4 linked regions of the Drosophila melanogaster genome follow. Changing the gene in region 1 together with any one later gene gives a genetic interaction. Each region holds a gene or a part of one and is shown in the gene's direction. Other genes may lie near its edges.

The links.
Region 2: of Buffy (region 1) and hppy, changing one suppresses a phenotype caused by changing the other (phenotypic suppression), as found in Drosophila melanogaster (one study listed by BioGRID).
Region 3: of Buffy (region 1) and Lfg, changing one suppresses a phenotype caused by changing the other (phenotypic suppression), as found in Drosophila melanogaster (one study listed by BioGRID).
Region 4: of Buffy (region 1) and Pten, changing one suppresses a phenotype caused by changing the other (phenotypic suppression), as found in Drosophila melanogaster (one study listed by BioGRID).

Annotation. Positions count from the first base shown.
Region 1 is NT_033778.4:11,676,920-11,684,263, forward strand, and holds the start of Buffy (buffy), read left to right. Parts: upstream 1-2,572; 5' UTR 2,573-2,667; intron 2,668-7,245; exon of another isoform or gene 7,246-7,344. Other genes in the region: Roc2 (regulator of cullins 2), read right to left, coding at 1,287-1,446; Tret1-2 (trehalose transporter 1-2), read left to right, coding at 1-392, 449-734, 795-979.
Region 2 is NT_033778.4:19,175,387-19,182,653, forward strand, and holds the start of hppy (happyhour), read left to right. Parts: upstream 1-3,351; 5' UTR 3,352-3,486; intron 3,487-4,112; 5' UTR 4,113-4,346; coding exon 4,347-4,472; intron 4,473-7,267. Other genes in the region: CG10737 (uncharacterized protein), read left to right, coding at 802-961, 1,030-1,137, 1,202-1,357, 1,555-1,603.
Region 3 is NT_033778.4:12,872,867-12,879,742, reverse strand, and holds Lfg (lifeguard), read left to right. Parts: upstream 1-2,776; 5' UTR 2,777-2,952; coding exon 2,953-2,971; exon of another isoform or gene 2,972-3,453; coding exon of another isoform or gene 3,454-3,481; exon of another isoform or gene 3,482-3,535; coding exon 3,536-3,642; exon of another isoform or gene 3,643-3,661; intron 3,662-3,718; exon of another isoform or gene 3,719-3,799; coding exon 3,800-3,901; exon of another isoform or gene 3,902-3,963; coding exon 3,964-4,470; 3' UTR 4,471-4,579; downstream 4,580-6,876. Other genes in the region: Nmda1 (N-methyl-D-aspartate receptor-associated protein), read left to right, coding at 652-691, 1,033-1,358, 1,422-1,670, 1,729-2,088; Balat (Beta-alanine transporter), read left to right, coding at 4,813-4,925, 5,089-5,404, 5,463-6,524, 6,583-6,876.
Region 4 is NT_033779.5:10,255,029-10,264,871, reverse strand, and holds Pten (phosphatase and tensin homolog), read left to right. Parts: upstream 1-3,822; 5' UTR 3,823-4,018; exon of another isoform or gene 4,019-4,287; 5' UTR 4,288-4,618; intron 4,619-4,884; exon of another isoform or gene 4,885-5,181; 5' UTR 5,182-5,296; coding exon 5,297-5,396; intron 5,397-5,458; coding exon 5,459-5,631; intron 5,632-5,698; coding exon 5,699-5,843; intron 5,844-5,956; coding exon 5,957-6,144; intron 6,145-6,215; coding exon 6,216-6,323; intron 6,324-6,474; coding exon 6,475-6,637; intron 6,638-6,698; coding exon 6,699-6,808; intron 6,809-6,878; coding exon 6,879-7,094; intron 7,095-7,155; coding exon 7,156-7,477; intron 7,478-7,749; coding exon of another isoform or gene 7,750-7,754; exon of another isoform or gene 7,755-7,962; intron 7,963-8,365; coding exon 8,366-8,385; coding exon of another isoform or gene 8,386-8,419; 3' UTR 8,420-8,553; downstream 8,554-9,843. Other genes in the region: REPTOR-BP (REPTOR-binding partner), read right to left, coding at 1-108, 239-323, 608-664; Rsf1 (repressor splicing factor 1), read left to right, coding at 1,454-2,056; CG5676 (uncharacterized protein), read left to right, coding at 9,057-9,151, 9,602-9,794.

The DNA of each region.
Region 1 (7,344 bases):
TCATTATCCCCGAAACTCCGCGCTGGTTTGTGAACCGTGGTCAGGAAGAGCGCGCCAGGAAGGCTTTGAAATGGCTGCGTGGCAAGGAGGCGGATGTGGAGCCCGAACTAAAGGAGTTGATGCAATCTCAGGCCGATGCCGATCGTCAGGCCACTCAGAACACCTGTTTGGAGCTGTTTAAGCGAAACAATCTGAAGCCACTTTCCATTTCCTTGGGTCTGATGTTCTTTCAACAGTTCAGCGGTATCAACGCGGTTATTTTCTACACGGTCCAGATCTTCAAGGATGCGGGATCCACAATTGATAGCAATCTTTCCACGATCATCGTGGGTGTAGTTAACTTTTTTGCTACGTTTATGGGCATCATTCTGATTGATCGGTTGGGCAGAAAGGTGGGTTTAAAGATGCATATAAATGAAAATCATTGTTTACTAATCGTAATTTTTAGATTCTTCTGTATGTATCCGACATCGCCATGATCGTGACCCTGTCCATTCTGGGCGGCTTCTTCTACTGCAAGGCGCATGGTCCGGATGTGTCCCATTTGGGTTGGTTGCCACTCACTTGCTTCGTTATCTACATTCTGGGATTCTCCCTGGGCTTCGGACCCATTCCCTGGCTGATGATGGGTGAGATTCTGCCAGCCAAGATTCGAGGACCGGCTGCATCGGTGGTCACGGCTTTCAACTGGTTCTGCACGTTTGTGGTAACCAAGACCTTCCAGGACCTCACGGGTGCGTAGTGCAACTAACTAAAATAAGTGGTGTAATAATATTTAATATTTTTGTGTGTAGTTGCTATGGGCGCGCATGGAGCCTTCTGGCTATTCGGCGCCATCTGCATCGTGGGTCTGTTCTTTGTGATTATTTTTGTGCCCGAAACGCGGGGCAAGTCGTTGGAGGAAATTGAGCGAAAGATGATGGGCCGTGTGCCCATGTCCTCGGTGGTCAACATCAAGCCATTTCCTTTCAACATGTAAATGGCGTGTTGCTAAGGATCTGAGATGCGTTCAAACCAAATAGTAGGGTGGTGTCTTCGTGCTTAAATTGTGAATTTTTAGGCAAGCGCAATAAATCAAAATTACCGTTGAAAAATACACCAATTGAAAGTTTTTAGGCACTTATGTATATGTGAGTAAAAAACATTTTCGCTTGCGATATGCACAAGATAGTGTTAACAAAGACACCAGTATAATAATATTCTAGTTACATATTGTTACATATGTAGGACCTTTTATTATTATTAATACTCAAGATTAGAGTTTTGAAATCAGTGGTATTGCTCACCCATAACTTGAACACGGCAAATGGCACAGATATCGCATTCCACATCCCAACTCCACATTGCAACTGCGTTCCATTTCTTCAGCGTAAACATTTTTTCCGGTTTGCCGGCATCTCCGTCGTCTGTGGGCCTATCCACTGAGTTTTCTGGATCATCAGCCATGTCAAAAAAGTCTGGGAAACTGACCAATCCACTGGGCTAATGAGATTCGGTTTTTTAATATTTTTTTTTTGTTTCTTGTGTATATCCTCCTGTATGGGAGATTTTAATTAGTATTACAAATAGCGGTTTAAAAATGTTTTTTAATTTTACAATACAATATATTAATTTTTTAAGGTTCTTTTATTTTTAATTTCCCTTTAATGTTTTATGTTTTTATTTTTATTTGGTAAACAATTTTAAGTTTTATTCGACCCCGTTTTTAAATATTTTTCTAACTGTTAATTTATAGGGTATTAGAAACTCTAAACCGGACCTATCTTAGTTATTGATTATTAGCAAATGGCAAAGTGGTCTAACCAGGTCCGGACATCAGTACGTAACTCAGGTTTAGGATTTTAAATAAGGTAATTATACAAATATTAGGAATATTACTCGAAAAATATGCTTAATAGGCGTAGGAGAGCTACAAGTAGAAAAGTTCAAAAATGATCAACAGGTGTTGCTTCCTTCCAACTGGTGGCGATAATTCTACGAACAAACGGTATATTAGTATTAGGGAACAGAGTAACGGGTATCTGATAGTTGAGCCATTCGACTAAGCGCATTCTTCTTGATTGTTTTTTGTTTTATGAATATTGGTAGCTGCGGAATAGGGGGATAGACTATAAAGCCTCTCACTTATCCCTGGTAAAAATGTAATTTACTTTCGTAGCAAGTGGCTGATACGAATTTTAATGTTTTGCTCAACTTGCCAAAAAGTTACTTCTTCCTCCGAGAACAAAGAAATGCCATTCTCAGTTGTATACGAAGGAAAGGTTATCACAGTGTTCGTTAAGTTGTTAACCTCACTCCTACTTCTTGCTTAGTTTCGGGCAAATGATAAGGAACCGCCGGTTTGACTTACCAACAAATAAGAAGTCGAAATAATTGAATGTAAACAATAGCAAGCCAAAAGTCAGTGTGGCCACACCAAAACAAGGGAAAACTATTTTCAGTGTTGCCACAGCCATTTAGGGGATACATTCACCTTATATGCACGGACACACCTATCGACGACCGATAATTAAATATCGATAAGGCGGTTAATTTGTTTTGTGATTTGGTTTTCGCTTACTTCAACTTCGGTTCAATTCATTTTCAGCCTTCGACGAGTGCGGAACGTTTGCGGCAGCGTTTTTCGGCCGCGCTTCTCAAGTTTCAGCTTGCGTTGGGAAATAAACGGTTGGTTTCCAATGCACTAACACAAATTTGACAATATAAATTATTTGCGGTTTCCGGTGATTACTTTAAAATGAAAACCTTCGAACGACAAAAGCTGACCGTGAATATACAGCAACCTGATTCCGATTCCGTTGCCAACCAGAACGCGCCCCGCATAAGTAATTAAGTAATTTCCATGCCGCTCAGCCGGAATCTAACAGTTCAGCCTTATTATTCGCCCATCGTAAACTGAAATTGAAAAAGATAATGGCAAATGACCCATTATCACTATCAGCACAAATGGCGCATCCGACAATCAAAGATAAACATCCCGTATCAATGCGATCCGATGCCAAATGTGCGATAAGCCGATTAAGGGAGTGGTATTTTAGTAAATAAATGTGGAGAAATTAGTTGTTTTTCACAGTAAGCAATAAATTTTCAAATAGCAAATGTAAAATCTACATAAGCCTTACAAAATGACGACGTGTTAAATGCCAATTAAGAGCAAATATCACCTGTGGCTAATGAAAATGTGCAATTTAATACAACCGCAAACAAATGTGGAAGTAACAAATAATGAAAATTTAAACAGATAAAGGTCATTTCGTAGACTTAAACACAAATGAGTGTCAAAAGCGATACGGATAAATATCAATAATTGCAAAATAAAACCCTTGAGTTGAACGCCCTTTTTTTTAACCGGAATAAAGAAGTAGCAGCTGAAGGAGAAACAGGCCAACAGCAAGTTTAATTTAATTAAATTTCGTTGTTTTCTGTGTGCGTGTGTGAGTGTGTTGTTGTTGCTTTTGTTGTTGGCTTTGCTGGATAATCAACGTAATGCTTCCACCCACATCGCGCGAAAGAGATAGCACTAGCGCAATTGACTTTGCCATAAATGATTTTTGGTTTTTTTTCTGCTATTTCTTTCTTGTTTTTTCATGCTTTTCTGTTTGTTTGTTTGTTTGTAAGTTGGTCGCTGGCAATTAGTGGAACGACAAATGTTTATTGACAAAGGCATTGGACACTTTGATTTACCGGGTCTATTCGGTTAAATTGTTTATGATTTTTAAGCGAAAATTATAGATATATGTACATGTGTATGTACATATGGGGGTGTTGTATCTCAGAGATATCGATGGTAAATGTGACACTTTGTGGGTGTATCTATAATCGTATAAAGTGGAACTCTAGTCGCTAAAAAATAAAATCAAACTCTTAAAGGCAGTTTTGTTTTCCTTATAAGCTAGATCGATAAATTTCCACAGCTTACCAGTAAATTTTCATTTAGAGCAGTTTCGAGTATATACAAAAGTGTTTAAAATTTTGCATGTGAAACTATAGCAAAGTTTCGAACATGTACATATAAATTTCAGAAAGCATATTTTAACAGGTTGTACATATATTCAAGATTTGAATGTCATAATTCATTTCAAAAGTAACTATCTGGTATATTTAAAAACCAAATTCCATCACAAAAGTGTGTTTATTTAATGTTTAAAAATGCCAATAAATGCTCAATTGCAACACCCATTTTCCAAGTATGAGTGCAAATGTTTTAGGGATTTCGAACAAGATCACTTCATGCCCCCGATGCCACAAAGCCTCGAGAAGTAAATGCAATTAACTGGCGAAAAGCACTTGCGCCCCCTTGCCCCTCCCTTTAGACCATATTAACTTGGCTTTAACGCCGTGCACGTTCGATTTGAATGACGCACATTGGCGGCTGAATGGTTGAAAAAGTGCAAAATCAACAATTAATGAACTGAACAATGTTTGCCACCTGTAACGTCTGAGGATGGTGTAAATTTCCAATTGCAAACGATGTCAAACAGAGGCGTTTTACCGTCTGCTAATTTCCCATTTTCATTTCAAGCCGAATGGCCACAAATAATACAACAAAAAATAATGAAATAATAATAATACAACAAAAAGCAGTAAAACCGCAAGATTGCGGCTATTTGCAAGCACTTTATGTGTCGTTTATGATATAGTATTACTATGCGCTGTCACTTCGGTCCGGCGATCAAATATGCAATTAAATGTAAAAAAAAAAAAAAAAATGGCAATTTAATGAACCCACATTTGATTAACCAATCAGCAGTCGAAAGTCAAATTGCTCCAAATCGCTTGTCATGCGCTCCGCGAATTTGATTCAAGCAAACAAACTGAGAGATACAAAAAGATATGCGAAATTCCAATACGGAGTCTGCGTAACTGTCAAATGTTGTAAAAAATCAATAACACAAATGTTAACATGCGCACAATGCTAAAAACGCATAAAAACGAGTCGAGCGGCCAATAAGGTTGGCAAAAAATGGCAAAACAAAAAATGAAATCAAATAAAATGAAATGAAATGAAATGCCTGGCGACGCTTTAAGGCAACTCGGTTTGGGCCAATCCAAGCCCGAGATAAAGCATTTGACACTTTTGGCTAATAAAAGTTGCTAATGAGTGCGCGCAACTCGCCGATTCCGAGTTGTTGATTTAGTTATATTTTTTGTGATCCGGCCAATCGGAAAGCATTAATAATTGGGTGTTGAGAGAGCAGTTTTACTGCACTAATTGTGCATAAATAAATAACAGCTTGTGTAATCCAATTAATTTGCAAATAGTTAAGTTGAATCGCCGAGGGAGAAGTTATCAAATGGGTAGGCTGTCTAGAAGTTAAAAGGCTATTTTATTTCCTTTAAATTGCTGTATTTTTATGAAAATACAGGTATACAAATTAAAGTTCAGGCATATTAAAAATGAAATTAAAAATAATAAAAGTTATTAACTGCTTAACCAAGAAAGAGATCATATATGTACATATATACATTTTCTAAGCATTTTATGTTTCGTGGTTTAAGAAGTATTATATATAATCTTGCATTTGAAATATGACATACGATTATGACATGTTTTCAAATTTATGGTTTTCGAAGTTCTTTTCATTTTTAATTATTGGATTTTTTAATATAAAGAATTTCTTTCTTACTATAGAACATACATCAATTCAATTATCATAAATCGTTATACATTTGATCTTTTAGGAGTTTAGTTTGAGCTTCAAGATTTTCTATCCAAATTCTCGTTTTTCTTGCACTGAACTTTGAAATAAAACCTAAAAAAATGAGTTGCTTGCTCCCGTTTTGATTAAGTATAATGTTTTAATTAACTTGATCTGCTCCCTTTTAAAACCTTTCGAGTTGTGCCGACTCCTTTAATGAGCAGCGAAATCGACGATTGCCAGTCATGAACATCGATATCCATTCATAGAACTGCGTTTTGCTTGTCCATTGAAACTTGGCTAAAATGAAGTGCGCTCATAAATATTTATTAGGCATTGCTAAACTGGGCACTAAGTAGTCGGTAATTTAAGCAGACATCAAAATTGTTAAGGCCAGGTCCACACACACACACACACACACATACTTACTGGACCCCATACCCATTCGGCCGATTTGGATGCTGAATGAAGAGTGTAAATTGCAGCCGCCACTTTGGCGAAAGAAATGAGTGGCAACTGGGGGAGCTTTACATCGACTGCACTTTATAGAGTGGAGTACACGGATTGCGGCCAAATCGAACACGAACTTAAGCGCCAGTTGGGGACGACATTAATTTATGTTCGGCAAACATTTTGCCTGCCATTTAGGCGACAAAGACAAAGTAGCCTCGCCTGCAAGCTCCAAGATTCCGCCCCCTACCCCGATTGGCCCACCAAATCTATTTGTGTTCGAGCCGGAACGCGTTGGGATTATTAATTAGCCAACATCGCTGGCGAAGCCTGTAAAAACATCGCGCCACATTCCCCAAAGTGGAGATGGGGATGCAATTGGGGGCATCTCGTCGAGCTGTGAATGATGATCTCAGCTGTGTGGGAATGCATCTACGCTTGGGTTAGGTCAACGAAAAGTGCTAAAAGGCCAGTTTGCGTTATGGAAAGTTAATTTCAAAATATATTAATGATCGCTTATATAATGCGCAACAAATTTCATTTGGCAGCCACGAAAAACTGCAAATGAAATGTATTTGAACTAGTTAAAAGTTACGGAAGTAGTAATAGAATATTTAAATATAAAAAATCACACAACAAAGTCTTTGTTTATTTATTTATTTTTTTTCAACTATTTAAGTTAGAAGAATCTCACGATGACCATTTTATCACAATGCCACCCAGCTAGCAAACAAATTCCGAAATACCTATGTATGTATGTATCTCCTGAAGCCCCAATGGGTAATTAACTTGTAACTCTAGACTTTTGGCCACCCATCGAGCAAAAGCGGCTGAAATCAACGGCTAATTGGCTGCGATTTTCATGCCCATTAAGCGCCAACTGTCAGCCAGCCAGATGGATGGATTATCATATACGAAAACCGTCAACAAATTGCACCAAATAACAAAGCCAAAAACCGAAATCGACTGTGAACGAGGTTTCATTAGCCGCGCTCGAAGCGTGAAAACGTGATAAAATTTCGGTTTAGGCCACAACTATCTGGCCATAACTAAATCACAGATTGCAATTTGCGAACTAAGCGCGCAGTTTGGAAATCGGTTTGCCTACTGGCTTTTTGAGCTATCTATCGTACACTTGTTTTTTGTTTTTTTTTTTAAGATTTTATTCTCAGGTCCGCTCAATCACTGGCGACATGAACATAAATTACATTTTATTAAGTGCTAATTTCTGTTTTAATCTCGAAATGGGCAAACA
Region 2 (7,267 bases), 7.5 Mb from region 1:
TTGGACAACTCCTGCATTCTGCTAATAACTCTGCGAAGGAATATCACTTCATATAGAACAACTATTAACTGCTTAGTGCATTGCAAAATCTTTTATGTCTAATACCTATCTTAAGTTGTTCATATTTTTGGCTCTCTAAAAAGCGTCCATTTTCATATGTAATTGGGACTTTCGCTTTATTATTCAGGCTTCAGCCTTATAAGTAGTAGTTATAAGCCATGATTCAAATCACAAAATCATTATTTTTCATACATCACATCTTATTTCATGAATAACTTTAGTACTAAGTGTAAATTGCTTTTCTCCCTTAAAGTTTAAGTACCCCAAGATATTGTACCATTCAAAGCTTGTAAATTAACTGTTTGGTAATCTGTATCTGTACTTGTATCTACATCTGTTGTCTGTTTTATCTTCTCTCCCTTAACACAATACCCATCAACTGCTAACTGAACTGTGATCCACAACACGAATCTGTATGTATTTCATGGTTCCGATACACGCACATGAAACACCTATTTCAACAAAAACTTAACACGGTTGAATATTTTTGGAATATTTTTTGTAAATATTTGGGTTTATTTTTGGAATTTGGCTTTTGAATTTTTCTTTTTATAATCTCTGATTCGATTTTGGTTGTGATTATTTCTCATACTCCTCTCCTATTCTTTTCTTTTGTTTATTTTCATATGTGCAAAATATGATTTGATGGGTCCTAACGGGTGCTTGGTTTGTGTGCCACTCTCAACTTGCCACATAAAAAAAAAACAAAAACAAACACACACTAAAATTAATAAAACGCAGGACCACGCATGGGCATTGGTCACTCCATCACCGACCACTCACGTCGCTCCTCAATTTCAGAATCCTCGGCCATCTCAGGCTTTTCCTCGGCTAGCAATAAAACCTACGTGCACGAGGCCTCCACCCTGGTGCTGGAGACCATCGAGAATGGCATAAAGCGGTGAGTTTCGATCGAGTGTTTGCATTTTATGGATTCTGATGGAACTGCTTCATGTGCATGATCTTTAGCCACTTCATTGTGCCTTTGGCCATCGCCCAGAGACCGCGCTGGCGTCGCAAGGGCACCAAGCTGCACATCTACAACGATCACACCTTCATCGCCAAGCATTTGAGCGGGTAAGTTTAAAGTAGTAAGCATTAGTTGCTTTGAATATAATTAACGAATCCTTTCACATTCCAGAAGCGGTCTGCAGTGCTCCATCTGTATGAAGTCCATCCCGCGGAGGCCCGGAAAGCAGGGCTACGAGTGTCGCGACTGCCAGCTGATTAGTCACAAGCAGTGCCACATACGGGCACCACAAGCATGTCCCAATCCCACGGTGCTCTCCATGGAACTGTAAGTGTACCTGAATCTCCGTCAGCTTTTCATCCTTTTCTCTGCCCGATTTTGATATTTGAGGGAATTACAAACTCCTAACCAATACCCAATACTAATTTATTGATTTCGTTTTATTTTTCTCTTTCCACACACACACACAACACAACACACGAATACGCACACCCACCCAATGAAACAAAAAATAAATAAAACAGAACGTCATTTCCGGTACTCACAGAGAGAGATATAAACCTAGTTAACTAAATCCTTATTTTGTGACCAATCCAACTATCTGAATACTTATTCTTTTGTAAACAACTTGAATCCGCCAAATGCAGTTTGATATTTACCAAGAGCAATTTTTGATTTACTCACTCCACTGAATTGGCGTCAGAAATGGAAAATTCGGCTTCGTTTTCCGGCTTCCGCTAGCATCCTCCCATACCCAATCGCACTGTCACCTCGCTTGGCCACGCTGTTTCATTATGTGTAATATAACTTCTGGGCACTAATTCGAGCTCTTTTTCTCATCGCATCCCTCACACGAAATACAACCAAACCACCCACACGGACACAGGATGGCCAGTGAGGAGTAGAAAGGTCTCAGCCACAGCACAGCATCTTTAAAGCCAGTTAAATACCATTCTTAAGTGCTATCCAAGCGATGTGCGAGTTCATTCTGACGCCATATATATACATATATATAGTTAAAAAAGAACCTACACAATCCTCCTTCGATTTGACCAAACAAAAAATAGAAAAAACTCCAGGGTTCTAGATCCGTTCTGCTGCAGTTTTGTGTGGTTCGCGCATTTTCCAGTTGACCCTTTGGCAGCTGGAAAATCGGGGTAAGCTGGCAACGCATTCGCATGAAATTCCTCGTTCTGCTCCACTGTGTTGTGTACTAAATTAACACTCTCGTTCGGTTTTGATCGCACTGCGATCCATACTAATGCAATTCCTTCTGAGGATTGTTCAGTTAATTCGTTCAGATTCGGCCTAATACTGTTTGAAGCTTGTTTTCCAATTGTTAACCATTGATATTGCACTTGTCTAGATATATCTAACGTTCGTTTTTCTCTTATTTTCACAGAACTAAACTCAATTCAGCGGCGGCAGATCGCAGCATACGGAAGCTGTGAATATGGGGAATACCCTGGAATCCAAGCCAGACAGCCCCAAGCCGAGAAACCTTAATCGAAATAATACCCTAGTTACATAGAAGTGAAGGAAGGAGCTGTGCTAACCATCTTCTTCTGCTATGGAACATCTCGATACATTTTACGTTATTTATTTATACACTCACGCGAACACACACATGTGCAATAAGTTCTTTGGATTCGTTTTTAACCCATTTCTCCGTGTCAACGTGCTCGAGCCCTTTGATATTTTGTATTTTCTACAAACACGAATAATAATTGTACAAAATAAAAGTGAATTAGGGTTTTTTTTTTAAATTAAACAACAAATTCGGTGAATCAATAAAGTTGTGATCACTAATAATACCGGATATTTTTCGGAAAGCAGTTGGCAGTAGTTTGCGTGTAGATATTAAACATTTCACTTGTTTCGAGTTTAGGATCCAATTGTTGTTGTTGGGAACGGCGGTCTGCACAAAGGAGTTTTCCCAGTTTGTGGCTGATTTAGGTCTTAGTAACGTAGGAAAGATTAAGGGGAAGTTCCTATAAAACATTGCTGATTGGCAATACAGTGACAAATCATTTGTATGACATTCTAATTAATAACTAAAGAAACATTGAAGTAGATTTGAGAGCTTTAACTAATGTATTCCTTTAACGCTGCTACTAAATGTACTTTCATGTGGATTCAATGATTCATTTTATTGAATTTCGAATGTCCTTCAGCAGTTTAAAAATTTCCCCTGTCTGGCCACCCCTTCTGGCCAACTAATATCGATATCTTCGAAACGACAGCCCGACAGAGTTGCCACCGCCGAACGACCAGCGCTGCTATCGATAGGCCCGCGGGCAGAGTGCCATCGCTAGCGAGGGGTGAGAGGAACAACAACATTTGTGGGCTGCGCGTTGACGAAGTGCATGTGAAATTTTTCGTGTTCGTAGGACAATTGTTAATTATCCACTGGCCGAATTTGCCCCGCAATCACGTGTCGGTGTAATATGTGAACGGTTTGTGGTGCTCACCTAGCGCTTAGCGAAAATCGGAATAAAATTATAAAAAAAAAATAATAAACGTAGTATTTACACCAGCAACAACAACACCACGAACGGGCGACAAAGCGACACGCCTCGCGTTGTTGTTTTTGTTGTCGCGTGTTTTTTTACTCGGCAGCACAGCAACTATTTATTTATTTAGGCAATTTCGCTGGCAAAAACAAAAGTGGCCTTCATAAATTCTAATAAAAAGTAATTAAAGTGCAAATGCATTGAGAAGCAAGGAAGAGGAGACGAGAAGATAAAGAATATATGCAGTGGAAGAGAGAGAGCGCGAACGAGAGAGGGGATTACAAAAAACGAGACATCGTTCACTTGCCCTCTCGCTCCCACCCCCGCGCTTTCTCCACCTTCTTCTCCACCCTGGCCTTTATCAAATTTGTTGTTGCTGCTTTATTTGCTGATTTTTGTTTTCATCGCTTTTTTTTTTATTCTGCGTCATAATTCGCGATTCTCTAGTTTCGTGTGTGTATCAATTCAATTCTCTGATCAGAATCTGATTCATATGAAATAAATGTATATGTTTAATACATAATATACAAAAGTCCAGTTAACCTTACGTAATTGTGTGTATTTCAAAGCGTCCAAAATGCATCTCGATCCACAAAAGTATCTAAATTTCGCCTGCTACGTGTGCTAATCAGTCAAACCCAAAAAACGAATAAAGCAGCGTCAAGAGTAAGAGTGTCAATCAAATATTAAGAGTATACCCACCCAGTAAAGAGAGGTCCAGCCAAAAGGACTCGATCGCCTCGAACCGAAAGCGGAAGCGGAAGCGGAAACGGCAACGGCATACGGATACGGAAGCTGCCAAGATGGCCGCCGCCCACAGTCACCACAATGCCAATATGCTCAGCTCGGACATCTCTCGCCGAAATCCGCAGGACGAGTACGAACTCATCCAAAAGATTGGCTCGGGAACCTACGGCGACGTCTATAAGGTGAGTCGAAATAGAAGCCTTTAGCTGTAGTACAAAGTGGTATTAGGAAGGGAAAGGCAAAAACTTCTAAATAAAAACAACAGCAAACAAAAGGCAAAGAAATTGCAAAGTGTGCTCTTTGGATTTAGAATGTTTCCCCAAAAATCCGTAAGTTTTTATAGTTTCCCTCACTGCAATTTTTGCATTCCGTCTGCACAGGAAAAAATTATCCAACAGTTCTCAAATTCGATTAATTCACTTTGAATTGTATCAGGAAGTTTTCTGTTCAATAAAGAGACATCACACATTATGTAACACTATTGCCTCATTGGATTGCAAAACCTAGGAATAATGTTCTTATTGGATAATTTTTGGACACATAATCAAGAATAAATTTTAAAGTTGAATGTGTTCCATATGGTAAAACTAGTTCTAGTCCGTTATGCATTTATAGAAAATGAATTTAGTTACATATCTCAATGTGGAGTATCATTATTGCTCACCACGCCACATAAATAATAAAATTGTATGTGCGTTAAAATGTAGAACGCATTAAATCATAAAGGAGGAATGTTTTTTTGCTCCAGTGCAAGAGTGCATGTACCCCCTCGATCTCCCCACCGCCACCCACTTGCAGACCCTCATTTGTACATCTGTTTGCCACAGCATGTTTCTCATTCCTTCACTACCCCCACCCCCCCTTCACTCCACATCCCTTTCAGCACCCCCTTCCCCCAAACCCCTCGCCCCGCCACAAACAAAAATATGCGCAATTTTAGTTTTCCATCTTCTTCTCTGTTGGATCGTTCTTTTTATACCATCCAACTTCCATGTTTACTCTTGCTGCCCGTCGAAGGGAAGTATGACAAATGCCCCGAAACGCCAGAGAAGTTGCCCTTGGGCGGGGGGGCGTGGCACGTTGCAATTGTTGTTGCCAGGGGCGGGATTATATGGGAATATATCGGGGGAGATATTATGGTATTTCTCATGTGCAGACCAAGGGTTAAGTTCCTCATTTTCCATATGGAATGCCTTTGAATTCGAGGGATTTCCCCAATTCGATTTATTGCATTCTAGTTGGCAACCCAAAATCTATAAATCATCAGCTTTTCGAACGTTTTCCATTCGATTAATTTTGACGAAATTGAAATTGATTAAATTTCACATTGCTCATAAAAGATGGGAATTCAATTAGTTTGTGCACTTTTGAAATTCGATATTAAGTATATCGTAATTTATAGATTTTAATTTGTAGAAAATGAGAGAATTGTTAATTAATTTGCTTTGGCATATTGATAACTTGGTTTGACAGCGCACAATGAAATCAATATGTCTATAATGTGCACCACAATTCTGCACGACATTTGAATGGTTTTTGACTCGCTTAATTTGAATGCTTAGGTTTTAAACAATATGTGCAGTTTTTTGGTTGGCTTTTGTTAATAACGTTTTATGTTGACTAAAGTCTTGTTTTTCTGTAAACTCAGGCAATCATTATTAGTCATCAAAGCGTAAGACTGTTGAGATTATGCTTATTCTTGCTCATCAGACTGATATTGGGACTTGATTCATTTTGCCTCACTTCAATTTATTCGATAAGCAGCCACGCGCTTGCATTGATTATTCGGATTAGTTTCGAATGTGTTATTTATTTATTTATTTATGTTTGCCCACATCTGGTTTTGTGGCCCTCTACTCATTTTGCCATCTGATTGTGTCTCGTTTTTGTTTTTTAGAGCCCGTTCCGTTCTGCTTTCTGTATCTTTTCTCCATGTTCCATCCATGAGATGCGTCATGCCATGAGTCCAAAGCCCATGGTTTCGGTTTCAATCCACCATGCAATTTACACTCTTTCGTTCCCCCTGCTTTTTACTTCGGTTTTTTTTTTATTTATTTTCACACCGAGGTATTTGGTTGTCAAGGGAATTTATGATGCCACACATCTAGAAAGGAGACGATGGCATTTCGATTCTGTTTACACAAGCGACAAGTTCGCCAAATGAAAACAATCGGTTTTGGGGATAATTTGCAGTTTGGTTTTCCGCATAAGTTTTTGGCTAAACCATTATTACACATCGAGCACTTGAAGTGCAGGGCAATCGAAAAGCTCGCTTTTCCTCTCATTTTTTTCGCAACTCGTTTCGCGATATCAATTTACAATAGAAATAATAACAGCGAAATGAACAACAATGCGCCCTGTTGACAGGCTATTACGAATGGAATTGGGTTTCTACTGCTCCAATTTGTTTGCTCCACCTCCTCCCATATGCCACACCCCCTTCTAACCCCACAACACACTCATTGATTCTTATTAGTGGCACAATGATCCAAAAATTTAGTGCAACGCCGCAAATAAATGTTCAGCTGGAGAAAATGGGTGGAGCTTTAAAAATTTATGTGATTCAGTCTTGCTGGACTGTTGACATGCAAATTTAGATGTTCAATTTAACGAATGCAGATGATAAATGAAATGTACATATTTATATTTTCAGTGAGATTTAAAGACTAAAGTATAATTTTTTGACTAGTGACTCAGTTTAATATTACGTGCTTGTTTCGAGTTTATTTAACTGTGCTCTTTTTTTTTCCATATTTCACCCTTATTCAATATTCTTAAAAAATATTTATTTTAACTTCTAGTTATTTTATGCATGTTTATATATGCACTATATAAAAAGTTATTGCAATGTTTTTAATTTGTACGAGTATTCCTCTGGAGAAAAACTTGGAGTATAAATGGCACCTGACATGGCGGGTGGGAAAACTCAAGACGGGAAAAACTTTGACTCAAGAGGAAGGTGCTGCTGTTGCACCGG
Region 3 (6,876 bases), 1.2 Mb from region 1:
CAGAAAAACAACATTCAATTGTTTGTTTTGATCAAATAGCAACGTAATCCAGAGGTAATTAGTCATCCAAAGAGCATAATTTGAATAATGGGAAGATAGTAGGTCACGTCAAAGAAAATTATAATAGTGTGGTTTCCCGGTAATTTCGAGAAGCTGGCAATTTCCAAAAGTGAGTCACCACTTTTCCTACACCGAGCTGCTGTGTATGTATTATTTGCGCTGGTGGTGCTCCGGCTGAACTAATTTAATAGCTGCGACTACGTTAAAGCGCTTAAGCTCGCAGTTCAGCGTGTAGGTAAGGTTCATAAATGGCCCCAGCTATTTTCAGAGAACCCACACAAGAAAGCTTGAGAGGTACACGTCATGGGGGCCACAACAAACGAAACGGTGCCGAAGTTTCTCAGGCATTACTATAGTGGCAAATTGATTGATAATTAAAGTTGCATGCCACCAAAGGTGTGCACATTTCTTAGACACTAATTAAATTAGCTAATGATTGCTTATCATCGTGTCTTTGCAGGTAAAACAACAACGAAACAATGCAAGGTGAGTGGAATAAGGACAAGCCGTACTAACACATTCTTTTTGGATCTAAGTTTACTCCACAGCGGTTTCGGAATTACATAGAAATCAGAGCGAAGTCCCTCGAGAATGTCCTGGCAAAGTGTTCCCCAGTATCCCCAATACCAAGGTTCAATCTTCTTAACTTCTAAGCGAGTGTTACAGCTTACCCGTTTTCTGATCGCATGCTTTTGTTCGTCCCGGGGCTTGTCGACCCGTTGAATGCTCAGTAATTGCCCAGAGCTGATTCATTTCCATTACCTCTCTCTCTTTACACATCGTACTTGTCCCTTCTTATCATGGTTGTATGTACATATTTGCTCGAGATTGTTTCTTGGTTTACCGCATCTCTTCGTCACGGCGAAGCGTTTCATTTAGATTTTACAGTTCTTGGTAGACAGATTGCTGTAGCGAACGCGTTGGTAGCACCGTTTTAGATGACAAACTAAAACGAGATGTCTTATTTCGCAGATCCCAACCAGCAGTACAACTATGGCGGCGGTAATCCCCCGCAGGGAGGATATGGTGGATATCCACCTCAGGGCGGCTATCCACCTCAAGGACCGCCGCAAGGCTACCCACCCTATGCACAAGGAGGTGCTCAACCCTATCCACAGCCCTACGGACAGGGGCCTCCACCGGGAGGTTATGCTCCCCAGCCGGGATTTATCCAACCACCACCATCTGCTGGCGGCTACGGAGCCTACGATGATCCGGAGAGCCAGCCCAAGAACTTCTCGTTTGACGACCAAAGCATCCGTCGCGGATTCATACGTAAGGTGTACCTGATTCTAATGGTGAGCTTTAGATAATTCTGCATAGAAGGCATGTACAATAAGTTATCATTTCTGTGTCATTAGGGACAACTAATCGTCACTTTTGGAGCTGTTGCCCTGTTTGTATACCACGAGGGCACTAAAACCTTTGCCAGGAATAACATGTGGCTCTTTTGGGTTGCCCTCGGCGTAATGTTAGTAACCATGCTGTCTATGGCTTGCTGCGAAAGTGTGCGCCGCCAAACACCGACGAACTTCATATTCTTGGGTCTGTTTACAGCAGCTCAGTCGTTCTTAATGGGAGTTTCCGCAACCAAATATGCTCCGAAAGAGGTGAGTACTTCGATTTAATTACGATATGTAGTAAAGTGATACGATATCTGTTTTCCAGGTTCTCATGGCGGTGGGCATAACAGCAGCGGTTTGCTTGGCCCTAACGATCTTCGCCTTGCAGACAAAGTACGACTTTACTATGATGGGCGGTATTTTGATCGCCTGCATGGTGGTGTTCCTGATCTTCGGCATCGTGGCCATCTTTGTAAAGGGAAAGATCATAACACTGGTGTACGCCTCGATTGGAGCGCTGCTCTTCTCCGTTTATCTCATCTACGACACACAGTTAATGATGGGCGGCGAGCACAAATACTCTATCAGTCCCGAGGAGTACATCTTTGCGGCACTAAACCTCTACCTGGACATCATCAATATCTTCATGTACATTCTGACTATAATCGGCGCATCGCGCGACTAAGTTCCGCTCTATTTCCAAATATTGTTTGCAGCTTAATCGGGTTATTCAGTAACCTGGAATACACGAATATTGTTGTCGCGTAATCTCATCGGTGTGCTCCCCCAGTGGAGGTAATCTTCAACTAACGAATTACTCAAATACTTACAAATCTATCTACTTCGTGTTGTGTTTGCCCATTTTCCCCGTTTCCTTCTAGTTCTAAATGTCAACTAAGGCTATATGAACTACTTACTTTTTGTTATGTATGTTTTATTGTTGCTTAAGTTGAGGCGCAAACCAAGTGGATATTTCCAAATTTAAAAATAAAAAAATTATATATATGTATGTATACCAAATGATATGCCATTCAGATAAACGAAACAACAATAAATAGTCACGTATAAACATATTTATGTAAAAATATACATATAAGCAAGTTGGCTTGCAGTTGTTAACACATAAAACTTAACCGTGTGTAATAACCAAGGAATCCCGATTTTCAACTATGAATCAAGTACCGAACATTGTAATCCCTGCAGCGACACTGAGTTTAAAGTCAACAATAAAGCGCATCTATTTATTAAAGCCACAGACCCCTGCATTGTAGGGCTTCCGTCAGTGGTTCATCCAGTTCAACCAGCCAGCCACCACCAGATGCAACTTTAGTCTGCGACTTCAGAGCGACGCCGTTGGTTGGATTACTTCTACACTCCAGACCATTATCGTCTGCATTTTTGCTTTATCATTGCTTAAGTTAACTTTGTTATCTGCACCACCACAGAAAGAAGTCCGGGTGTTTTAATTTCGGGTTGGCCCCATATCATGCGTTTGACCCGGCCACCTGTTCAGTAGTTCGTGTGAATTCCAGCAGGGCGTAGCTATAAAATGTATCACTACCAGCAAGGTAAGTACCGCCCGGATTGGGCTGAAACCAAACCAAATTGGCTACGGAAAGGTGCTTTAGATTAGATAATCGATTTGGCTATTGTATAAAGCTTATTGACTGCATCGTTTTCTCTCAGTAAGAGCCAACAAAATATATCTCTCTCGGCGCATTTTCATCTGATAAGACAGCTGAAAAGGTTTCGTTATGAGCCCAAAAACAGTGATTCACCCAATCGAAGGGAGAGTGAACAACCATTTTGAAATTGTATGGTGGCAATATCAGTTACTCACCGACATCAATACACAAATCTTATCTAGAGTAGAAGTGTGGGGCTGTGATAAGAGCCGGTAACCGGCTAATCTCAACTCATACGTCCATATGGGAACACCTAGAAAGGGCGATTCGGTTCCATTAAGCTGAAACACTAGCACGCTGCCGGCAGTCGGGCAAAGAGAGCACCGTAACTTAAGTGACTAAAGTTTAGTCATAGCAATTTAGCCATGAGCAGCGACAATCATTTTCAGTACGGTTAGTCATTGCATTAACTTTCCTGCTTCCTTGAATTGTCTTCCAACCACACAGGCGATGAAACTGGCGCATACACAGATGCGGAAGCGGACAAGAGCTTCGCCTTCGATGACCAGAGCATCCGGAAGGGATTTATTCGAAAGGTCTACTTGATATTGATGGTAAGTGCTGATATTTGAACTGAAAAAGAAAATATCAATTTAAATTGTCCAAAAATAAAGGTATTTGCTTCACTACTTGTCTGCTTTGGGTCACTTTAAAACTTCAAGATTTATTGACTTCCTGCAATCTAATTTTGATATCGCGCTCTATTTCTAGTGCCAATTGCTGATCACTTTCGGTTTTGTTAGCGTATTTACGTTCTCGAAAGCTTCGCAGGAATGGGTGCAAAAAAATCCGGCACTGTTTTGGATAGCCTTGGTAAGTTTTTACGACTTTTATGCTAAATATTGAATACAAATATATCCAATTTTTAAACTCAGGCCGTTCTTATCGTGACCATGATCTGTATGGCCTGCTGCGAAAGTGTACGCCGTAAGACGCCTCTTAACTTCATCTTTCTTTTCCTGTTCACCGTGGCGGAGTCGTTCCTTCTGGGTATGGTCGCCGGACAGTTTGAGGCTGATGAGGTCCTGATGGCAGTGGGAATTACGGCCGCGGTGGCCCTGGGACTCACCCTGTTTGCCCTGCAGACCAAATACGATTTTACGATGTGCGGAGGAGTGTTGGTGGCCTGTCTGGTGGTCTTCATCATTTTTGGTATAATCGCTATCTTCATACCGGGCAAGGTGATCGGACTGGTCTATGCCTCCTTGGGAGCATTGCTCTTCTCCGTTTACTTGGTGTACGATACCCAGTTGATGCTGGGTGGTAATCATAAGTACTCCATCAGTCCTGAGGAATACATCTTCGCCGCTCTAAACCTCTACCTGGACATTATTAACATCTTCATGTACATACTGACCATTATCGGATTGTCTCGCAATTAGACTGGTCATTATGATCCATAGCTTCTATTCCAGTTTTAGAAATGTAACTTAATTTTATGTGCCCAGTGCCACCTTAGCCGGAAAGAAATACAAGACGACTAACTAATCCAACATTGTCGAGTGCTCGCTTTGGTTTGGGATTTTGGCTGGGATTGGGGCGCGCTCAACTAGTTCGAACCTTGTCCACACCGCGGTGTCCAATTAATTAATGCGCACGAGAGGCCGTAATGTAATTATGTTCAATCAGCCCCTGCAGCGCCACCAGTTCCTGGACTGGATTGAATGTGGACAAGGTGATCGGCGCGATCGTCAGTTGCGCGAGCGTCTGGCTAACGGGCGGACATGGATTTCGACGAGGTGCTGCGGGAGGTGGGCTCCTTTGGTCTCTACCAGAAGGTCATCATCTGTTCCGTTCTATTGCCCGCCGCGCTGCCCTGTGCCTTCCACGCATATAGGTTGGTCATCCTTCTTTGGTATTCTATAATAATAATATTGAAAAAGAAATCTTAATGGGATTTTCACATCCATGCGATAGCATCATTTGGGGTCTACCTTTTCGCCTCTTAAAGGTACCTCATCAGAAAATTTTCATAATTATCTAAAATGATTATTTTCTAGCCAGTTGTTCATAGCGGCCACACCTCAGCACTTTTGTCGCGTTCCTGAGCTGGAGCCCTGGACGCAGGACTATGTGCAGCTTGTTAAGAACCTGAGCATTCCGCGTAATCGCAATGGAGCCTATGCCGAGTGTTCCATGTACTCGAGAAATTACACCGATATAGTGCGCTATCTTGAGTATCGACCTCCTCCGGATTTGTTGCGACAACAGGCAGAGGATTTGCTCAAGTTGCAGCCGGATACGACGCAGGTGGTGCCGTGCCAACATGGCTGGCACTACGACAAGTCCATATACTCAAGTACGGTGGTTCAAGAGGTGGGGATTTTCCAATTGGATATGGTATGTTAGAATTATTTCCTCATATATCTTGCAGTGGAACCTGGTGTGCGACCGCAGCTTCCTTGTGACTTTGGCGCTTGTGGTCTTCGGTGTTGGCGGATTGCTAGGTAACTATGTATTTGGATATCTAGTGGATCTGTGGGGCAGGCGGCCATCCTTTTACGCTTATCTGCTGCTCGAGATCATTGCCTGTGCGGCCAGTGCCTTTGCCTGGAACTATTACACTTGGTTGGGCCTGCGCTTTGTGGTGGGACTGACGGTGCCAGCTATTCTGGCGAGTCCCTATGTACTGGCCATTGAGCTGGTGGGACCGGAGAGGAGAGTTTTTTGCACCATCGTCTCGAATATCGCCTACTCCTTGGGCTTGGTGGTATTAGCCGGAGTTATCTATATCGTACGTGATTGGCGGGAACTCAGTTTGGCAGTGTCCATGCCTTTGCTGATGCTTTTCTCCTGCTTCTTCGTGCTTCCGGAATCACCACGATGGTTAATGGCCGTGGGAAAAACCAGGAGGGCCATTAAAATTCTCAAAGTAATGGCCAGAGTGAATGGTGTGCGCGTAAATCGGGATTTTGTGGAACGGTTGCAGCGAAAACTTGTCATCACAAGGGCTGCGGAAACCAAATCTTCAATGACCACCCACTATGGGATATTGGACTTGTTTCGGGGACCCAATATGCGTCGGAAGACCCTGATCATAACCCTTATTTGGTTTGCCAACACCAGTGTCTACGTGGGACTGAGTTATTATGCTCCTGCGCTAGGAGGCGATGAGATCTGGAACTTCTTCCTGGCTGGGGCGGTGGAACTGCCAACATATTTGCTACTCTGGCCGGGATTGAGTTATTTCGGAAGGCGCTGGATCCTGTTCATATCGATGCTGGTGGGCGGAGTCGCCTGCGTGGCCACATTTCTGTACCCAGACATCACACTGCTGCTCTACTGCGTGGGCAAGATGGGCATAAGCTCGTCCTTTGTAGTCTTGCCGCTCATGGCATCTGAACTGTATCCCACGGTGGTGCGAGGACTGGGCATGAGCTTTAGCTCGGTAATATCCATGGTGGGACCTATAGTGATTCCCATGATCAATCATATGGTGAGTGCGGCTCAGGGGATTACTGTTTACCATAATATTCACCCATTTCTCGTTGCAGGGTCAGCAAATGCTCGTACTTCCGCTAATTGTAATGGGAGCCCTGCTAATCTTGGGAGGATTTGCTAGTCTTTTGCTGCCAGAGACCCGTAACCGAAATCTTCCACAGACTTTGGAGGAGGGCGAGGCAGTGCCACTGAGCTTCCTCCTCTGCTGCTGTGTGGAAAGCGAGCGAAAGCCGAACAATATCCGTGCGAGTCCGAAGAAAAGGATTCTTCCTGAGGCCGGAACACCGGTTTTCCATCGTGTAGATACTCCGGTTTCAGATAGAGTCCCTTGCAAGATCGTTTGCAGC
Region 4 (9,843 bases), on another chromosome or scaffold:
TACGCAAAGCAACTACAGCCTTCTCCCGATCCGCCACCAGTTCCTCCAGGTACTGATACCGCAGCTTCTTGCGCGCCCGGCATTCCCTGGCACTTTGTCTGCTGCGTTCTGCAAGGGAAAATACACGTTATATAAAATTCCATAGGAAATAACATGTATTAGTGTTTGGAAACTTTGTTACTATTAAAAATAATACCGTTGTTTAAGTATTATAAGTGGAAATTAATGTTGTTCTTACCTAGTTTGGCTTTCATGTCCAATTTTTCAGTAGACGTCTTTCTTCCTGGTTTTCGTCCCCTTTTTCCACATTCCTTGCGCGTCTGCTTATAAATATAATATAAAATGTAAATATTTGACGATATCCCAAAAACAATTTGCTTTCAATATTCTTATTCGCAAAAATTTAGTTCCGATAAGTCAAACTTAAAATCTTTTTTGAAAATAGGCGCTTTTGCATGATAAAAATCACATATGTATATACACGCATACACAGAAGATAGCTTATATATGTGTATATACATACACGCAAGGCCTTACTGCGCATTAGAACAATTCAGATCATGTTCAAACAAAAAGACCACATCTTTTATATTTAATAATATATTACCACTTGTGTTTCCTCCGTTATTGACATTTTGTTGCTCTGTATCTCCATATCAGCCATTATAACTCTCAAATAATACAACAACTTTGCAACTCTTTGTTATTATGCGTCTTTCGTAAATACTCAAGGTAACAATAAACAAAACCACTACACACAAAGGTGCCAATCGAAATATATCTTAACAGAAACGATGGAATGGAACACATTAAGGGAACTATTTGTATTTTATATTTAAGAACAAAAATATAAATAAAGTTTAAATCGTAACAAATTTTCTTTTAATGACTTAAAATGATAATAGTCATTATATTTAAATAGTTAAATTATGATAATAGTTAAATTATAAATTAATTAAATAATAATTAATAAATGTTCAATATAATTATTCATTATTTGGGGTTTGAAGAAAATATAAAAGTACACGGCTATATATTAACAAACATTTTATATATTGTTTTACTTTATTTACTTTACTAAAGATCATACAAATATTTATAAAATTATATAAATTAAATTGACGTATTATTCAGATTACCATGATACATTTCCCAGCACAAAGTATAAAAATAATTAAAAATACAAGTCACTAGAGCAGCGGGAAGTCCCTTTTTACGGGGCCGTTAAACTATAAATACATCCCAACACACGTCCATTCTCAGTGTTCCAAATGCGAGGATATTTTTGAAAATTAGCATTTTTGCAACGAGTTTAACCACCCTGGTCGAAAAGTTGATATAGATACAAACGCTAAATTGTCCGGTGGTGATAACTTATTGATTATTTATTTTTCAAGGCAGCTATCCGATTTGCAGGATAACTCCGAAAACGAATCAGAAACAGTGAATCCAGATGTCCAGCATGGGTGATCAGCGCGGGACACGGGTGTATGTCGGCAATCTGACCGACAAAGTGAAAAAGGATGATCTGGAGGGGGAGTTCACAAAGTATGGCAAGCTGAATTCGGTGTGGATAGCCTTCAATCCGCCGGGATTTGCGTTCGTCGAGTTCGAGCACCGCGACGACGCCGAAAAGGCGTGCGACATACTGAACGGATCCGAGCTGCTCGGCTCCCAGCTGCGCGTGGAGATCTCAAAAGGGCGGCCACGCCAGGGTAGGCGTGGCGGACCCATGGACAGGGGCGGACGACGCGGCGACTTTGGCCGGCACAGCATCACAAGCGGTGGTAGCGGCGGAGGCGGTTTCCGGCAGCGCGGATCCAGCGGATCCTCAAGCCGGCACACGGAGCGGGGCTATAGCTCCGGCCGATCAGGTGCAAGCAGCTATAATGGCAGAGAGGGCGGCGGCAGCGGCTTCAATCGCCGCGAGGTTTACGGCGGTGGACGCGACAGCAGCCGCTACAGCAGCGGAAGTAGCGCCAGCTACGGACGCACTGGTGGTCAGTCGGCCGGACGCTTCAGGTCCCGCTCGCCGGTGGGAAACCATCGATTCTAATGACAACACCACTCATAGTTGCTTAAGGATTGCCTATGAGTAAAGATTAATAAATAATAACTTAAGCGCGACCGTAAAACGCAGACTCAAACATTTAAAATCGTAGCATTCGATCGTTTTCGATCGTCCAACAGATTCCCTCATTCCCCCACATCAACAACAACAACAGAATGATAAAAAAAAAAGAAAAAACAAAAAACTGATAGTCGTCGTCTCTTCATTATTTATTTAACGAATACCCATTAACATGACAATTGCAAGCACGTAAAATTTAAGTTATAACGTAGAAAACTAGTAAGAAAAATACGCTAAGACTCGAACAACGTCAAACCAAAATCTAGAAGTACGCAATTTTAATAAAGGAAATGCGGAACAGTTTCTCGTATACATAAAAGCTTTCGCAAAATAATTGGTCTAAAACATTAAAGAATTTTGAGAACTCGGAATTGTGTAGGTGTTCATTTTTACAGAACCTCTTATAACCATCGTAATAAACCCTACGAAATGAAGCAGTCAGCAGTCCGAAACTGGTAAGAAAGCGTTTTCGAAAATCTGCTTTGTTTTCTGAATCTCGAAAACCTAAAAAGCAATAACCGCCAAGTGTTTACAAACAAATCATTGACTTTACGTTTTGGTAAGAAATATTGCATGTGTACTATCCATCGATCTAACTTTTTACCTATTAAGACAAATACTATACAAATCTATAACTTATTGTAGTTGGGTCGAAACGGCAAAAATCTAGCCAATGCTGCAAGCAACTATATTAAGCGCATCGGTTTTAATGTTTATGTTTTATTTCATTTAACTAAATTAACAGGTCATTTGTTGGAGTATCTCTTAACGTCACTTTCAGATTTATTAGATTGCTTAAAGTTCAAAACATAGCTAAGCAATACTTATGATAACGACGATTAGTTAGTTAGCCCAAGGGGCTATTAAATATTTAAACGATGGACTGCAGAAACTTTTTAAACAAATAAAAAGCGAGACAAATAAATGAGAAATTGGTTAACACGGCAAAACACTTGTTTTTATTTCTTCGTCTTCGAGTCCTTTTTGCTTCAATAACATTTACTGATGATTGGCCTATTTTGATTTATTCAAGTTACGAATTAAAGTCAACAGTTGAGAATTAAGTGGTACCAAGAATTCATTTTGCGGAAACCAACTAGCCTTAAGATACGAGTGTAATTTTTAAAGTTTTGAAAATTTTTTAAAATTTTAAATTATTCAGATAGCAGGTTTTGCTTTTGAATAAAGGAACTTTAAATTCCAATCATATTTATGTCAAAATAATCGAATACCCATAAAAAACCTGTTGCACTTTTATCGATTGTAAATAAAAAAAGAGAGGATTACATTAATGGTATTACCCAAACTGATAGTTTTCAATAGCATTTCAATGGCTGGAAAAAAAAATAAATAAAAGGTATTCGTAAATCTTAAAAATGTTTGCGTTTTAAAAAATTGCATACCAAAAATAATATTGGTTTTGCAAGAAATGGAATTTTTAATAGCTGTAGCAATATTAGTTTCGTGGGTAGAACTCGAGTAAAAGATGTGTTGGTAGTCATGTTTTTGGTAGCATGAAGTTATATGTGTGTTGTTTAATAAGATTAAAATAAATGCATAGATAATTACATATTGTTTAAAACCGCAGTGCTAAAAAATAAATGGTTGTATCGATGACCCATCGATAGTTTTTGCATACACAATTTAATCGAGAGGGCACCACGCACGTCGATAGCACTGGATGTACATTTTCTCAAATCTTGTGGTGGTATCGCTCGCCGTAAACACCCTGTGGATCTCACGCTTGATAAATTAATAATACATTTAATAGAGCATGAGCGCTACTGTTTAACTTTTACACATAATTGAAAAGTTTTATTTGAAATTTCGTGGCTTAGAGCAAAACATGTGATAGCTTTTTGAAATGCAGTAGCCAGAACCTGCTCGGTTGGAACATTTAGCTTATTGACTTAAACATACCCATATGCACATACATACATATGTATTAAACAGTGGGCACATATATTCGTGTGGTGCTGATAGTGTAAATGTGTAAAATGTCTGTGGAATTGTAAATATGTTTTTGTTTAAACAAATATGTACATAAATGCACAAAAATCGGTGCATATATGTGCACATGCCCATCATCCATATCTGCATATTTCTGTACATGCATATGTGCTCTAACTACAATACATACCACCATTCGCAAACAGTTTGTCAAAAAAGTGTGTCTACTCGGCGAGATAAAACAAAAAACAGTTGCCAAATCAGTCGCTATGTTAAGTAATTCGAAATTACTGCTCGGTGTTTCTAAAACGGATTTTGATTTTGATTTTCACCCCTCGAAAATCGCCCCCTCAGCCAACGAACCCATTTAATTGCTCGAATTCGTATCGAAATCGCCGTGCGTTGGGCTTCAATAAAAGAACTCTGTTCTGTTAGCCAGTTACAATTAAAACCAGGACCATTTGACAACCAATCTGAATGTATTATGCCAAGCGGAAGATTGTTATATTGTTTATCTTTGATAATATGCCGATACATGTAAGTATGTTTCACGTGTGTGCCGCAAATGCCTGCCTGTGTGTGTGTGTGTGTGTATGTACATATGTGCGTGTGCATGTGCGAGTGTGTGTGAGTGTGTGCATGTTTGTGCTAAGGATATTTGTGGATATATAAACCGAACTGAAGTTAACTCTTTACCTGTTCCTGGGAAAACAAGTAGGGAACTATTCCTATAGAGAGTGCACCTCTGTCTGTATGTGTATGTACGTGCTTAAATATGTATCCAAGCAAGAACTGCAAACAGGAATATATCTTAGCCGAGTAAGAAGTATTAGTTTATATAGAACAACCTAAGTGGATCGGGAGAAAACAAGCCCATTATATTAGTTCCATATATCCCTTTAGAATGCCTTGGCACAGTATAATTAAGCAGTTTCTATTGACCATATTAGAAACTTGTCTGCTGTTAAAGGATTTAGGTTTGAATTCGCAGTAGAAAACTAAGCTGAATTGAGTCAATACTTTTCTAACTTGCTGTGGAAAATAAACAGATTAGTTAGAATCATATGCATATTAATTAATATGCTTTACATTCCTTTCAGAACGTACACTTTGCAATGGAGTAAATAGAAGACAAGCACTGGTTCCCAAATACATTTGAATGGATGCAGCTAATCTAATTTAAATAAAAAAGACAAGTCTTTAAACCTTAAAAATATGGCCAACACTATTTCGTTAATGTCCAACGTGATACGCAATGTAGTGAGTAAAAAACGTATACGATACAAAGAAAAAGGATACGATTTGGATTTAACATGTAAGTTATTGAATCAACCGCAATCATTGGAATATTAAATTAAATTATCTATTTACCCACAGACATTAATGATAACATAATTGCCATGGGCTATCCAGCACCGGATAAACTAGAGGGCCTATTCAGAAACCGTCTGGAAGATGTCTTTAAGCTATTGGAAGAGAATCATGCCCAGCATTACAAAATCTATAACCTATGCTCGGAGCGTAGTTACGACGTTGCTAAATTTCGCGGGGTAATTTTGTTGAACTTTTTCTATTTGTCGGCGTAAAATATGTAAAATATACTATTTCGCATTACAGAGAGTAGCTGTTTATCCGTTCGATGATCATAACCCTCCAACGATTGAGTTAATACAACGATTTTGCAGTGATGTTGATATGTGGCTCAAGGAAGATTCGTCCAATGTTGTAGCCGTGCACTGTAAAGCTGGAAAGGGCAGAACCGGTAGGAAATGTGTTCAACATTTTGTGCGAAAGTTCATAAATATCATGGCACACTATGATCTTGTTTCGATATTTGTAGGGCTAAAAAACTAACCCAGTTTTTTTTCATTTCAGGTACCATGATCTGCGCATATTTAGTGTTCAGTGGAATTAAAAAATCCGCCGACGAGGCATTAGCGTGGTATGATGAGAAGCGTACAAAGGACCGAAAAGGTGTGACAATCCCATCTCAGCGTCGATATGTTCAGTATTTTTCCAAACTAGTTTGTTCAAGTGTTCCATATTCGAAAGTAAGCCTTAACGTGAGTATTTCCAGCAGCAGCGCCACATTCAGCGCCGTACAAAATCTAAATATGCATTTTTTGTATCTCAGGTATGTGAAATACGCTTCTCGGAGTCCAGTTGTGTGCAAAACTTAGGCATGGTAGAATGTTCAATATCTGTATTACACGACTCAGCCACAGAAAATGCAAAGCCAGATGTAAGTATATAAAGTATATAGATACATCATTGATAGACTATAGACAGCATTTTAAAAATGTATATTTCACACGATTTCAGTGCAGTAAAGTGTTCCTTTTCGAATACCTTTCTAACCAGCAGTAACATTCTTCTTTTTTTTATAATTGCAGAGACTGAAAACCTTGCCGATTGATTTTCAAAAATCATTTGTTTTGACCATTAAACCATCAATACCAGTTTCCGGCGATGTAAAATTTGAACTCACAAAAAAATCCCCAGATAAAATCATTTGTCACTTTTGGCTAAATACGTTTTTTGTACGAAACTATTCACGTAAGTATACTTAATATCGCACATGCATTAAATAAACGATTTAATTAAACATTCTCTTTAGCTTGCGAGTCCGATGGAACAGTTAACAAATATATACACACTTTAAGCAAATCAGAAATCGATGATGTACATAAAGACAGTGAACATAAAAGATTTTCAGAAGAATTCAAGGTAGGATATTTCGAAGCATTTTAATAGATGCTGCGAAATTACCAAATAAATGTGCTTGCTCTCTTTTCAGATTTCAATCGTTTTTGAGGCAGAGAATTTTAGCAATGATGTTCAAGCTGAAGCGTCCGAAAAAGAGAGAAACGAAAATGTTTTAAATTTCGAAAGATCAGACTATGACAGTTTGTCTCCAAACTGCTATGCCGAAAAAAAAGTCTTAACTGCGATCGTCAATGATAATACAACGAAAAGTCAAACAATAGAAACGTTGGATCATAAGGATATAGTTGTAAGTGAAAACACGTTTTGCGCCGATCAATATGCTTAATCTATAAATCTAATATTCGTAGACTAAAATTCAATACGACACATCAACCAATTCAAAAAATACTTCGACTGCGTGCAAACGCAAACAGCCTAATAGCAAAACTCTTTTACCAAGCTTGAATGATTCCACAAAAGAGGAAATAAAACGAAATCATATATTTAATCAACCGTCCATTAAGAAAACTGATTTAATCAAATGGCAGAATAGTGAAGTTCATATCACCTCTGACACTCGAAGTATAAACGAAAATAAGAACATCAATTACAATTCATACATCACATGTAAACAATCCTCTCCAAAATTCAACTGTGGTACCGAAGATGGCGAGGAAGATTGGGAATCCGGTGAGTTTGCTGCACACTATACTCTCAATGACCAGATCTCACTAAAAATCTATCCGTTTTAATCGAGTAATACCGAACAATTGTTCTAATTTCACATTTATTTAATACTAAGAGTTTCGATTCAATTGATTTCTGGACCATTATCGGTTTGATTTTGTAATTAATTGTATTGTATGAGTATTCAAATTAAGATTTGTTAAAAGAGATAGCCTTTATCGACATATGCTATCGTCCACACATTTATATTCTTATTGACTTATTGAATTCGCCAGAATAATCACCCGAGACGATTTAAAAGACTTCTGGCTGAACGATCTCTTAATTTTGATGTATAAAACGAAGCCACCAGAACTGGATTTATATGTCCCCAAGACTTTTACGAGTATACTAGCAGAGACAGGCTTACACAGATCCACTTCCTTTCACGGGGAAACGATCGATTACAGCTGCGCTCTGCACATCTGTTTAGAATTTAATGTACATAGGTGAGTGAGTGGGAGCCCATGCCTGCGGCTCGAATGGTCAACTAACCGGCAATCCTTAATCAGTATCCGCATCGATTTTCATCACACATCCCTCACCGCTTCATAAGTATGTGACTCTGGGCACTGCCATTGTCCTTCTACTCAATTCATTTAACAAAACTAGCACCGAACTGTCGAACTTCGACTAATTCGACTATTTCACTGTTGCTGTTGAAAACTAAATATCCTGAAGCAGAATGTGTCTTTTGTGTGTTTCATCATCATCAAAAGTCTTCTGCTTTTAATTCATTCATGCTATTTTGATTTTTATCGTATTCTCGTTGAGTTTTAGTTAATAAATTCATTAAGCTTGTTTGAGCAAAAAAATCTAAACTAATAAATGAATATTTTTCTTTATTTCCAGGTGAATCAACATACCTGTAATCAATGCTTATTACGGACTTATAATTCTTGGTGATTTAGCAAAGTAATTAAAATTGCTAAGTAATTGGCTAATCTATTCGAATTTGTAAATATACTGTATGATATTTATTTAAGTAGTTTTAACAATTATTTTAAATAAACTCATGTACATTTTGTATTGTAGATTTCATTCGAACTTTGGGTTTTTGTCTAAAGTAAGGGGGGAGAAATAATTGACGTTTAGAAAAAAATACTTAAATTTATAGTTTTGATCTCGAAACTAGTTTTCGACACGAAAAGTGCAGCGATTAAATGGATATCTCATATTTTATTGGAATTTAACTAATAGTTTCAAATGAGGCAATAGCTAAGATAAATAAATAATAAGAGGTTCTTGAAATTTGCCAATTGTTGTGCAAAGCATACAGGATTCACAAAGGTAATTATCAGATTAATAATAAATATTCAAAGTATGATTATTCCAGTTTCTACGTTAAGTGCTACCAGTTATTTTTCTTACTCTTTTTCCCATAATTCCCCTAACATATGTTCCACTTCCGAGTTCCAATAAACCCAACACAAAAATGTTGTCCAAATTGACGCTATCTTGACGGGCATATATTATTGTGTTAAATTGACGTAAACTGGGCGGTCAGAATTTCGCATCTTAACGTCGACATCTAATTTTAAAAATGACTAATTATTCGGAAATTTTTAAGAAAGTTTTTAACGATATTGGCCAACGTTCAGCATATTCGCAGATGCTTATTGGCGTTTCATCAGGATGGTATGTGGTTATATCATTGCGGCGCATCACTTAAATTTTTAGCAATGCCGATTGTCTTTGGAATTTGAAGTAAATTGATTTTTTGCATACTTTCGGTAATAGCTGGTAGATAACTGCAGAATACGTTTTTAATTAAAATATACAACTGAATGCTTAGCCGCTCCATCTATTGCAAATATGTACTTCTAAATACGTGTATAAATGAATGTTGTTTGTTTGCGGGATACAGAAATATAGGACCTCCCTAAAAAGGAAAAGAACTAAATAGTGTAATAAAATGAGTTATTAATCAGATAAAACTGATATAATTTGCACAAGATAAGCTAGATAACTCGGCAATTTACTATACATGTATATGCGCCAAATGATGAGTTGCAAATTTAAGGAAATCCATAGAATTTGCTGGAATTTGTGTATCTTATCTTACTAAAAATATAACAATTTTTTCAGGGTCACAGGATATACGACAATGAAAATAGGCAAATTTGCTGCCTTTGCAGTTGGCGGCAGCATAATCTTGCTCGAAATCGCCCACCAAGAAGGACTTATAAAAATAAATTGGTCTAAGTTGGATAAGAGCGTGGATAAGCTCGCCGATAAAGTGGAAGCCTCGCTGGGTCGTGAGAAGAACTGGAAGGATAAGGTATAATTCATTTAAACCGTTTATCTATATGCTTACTATATTTATGCTG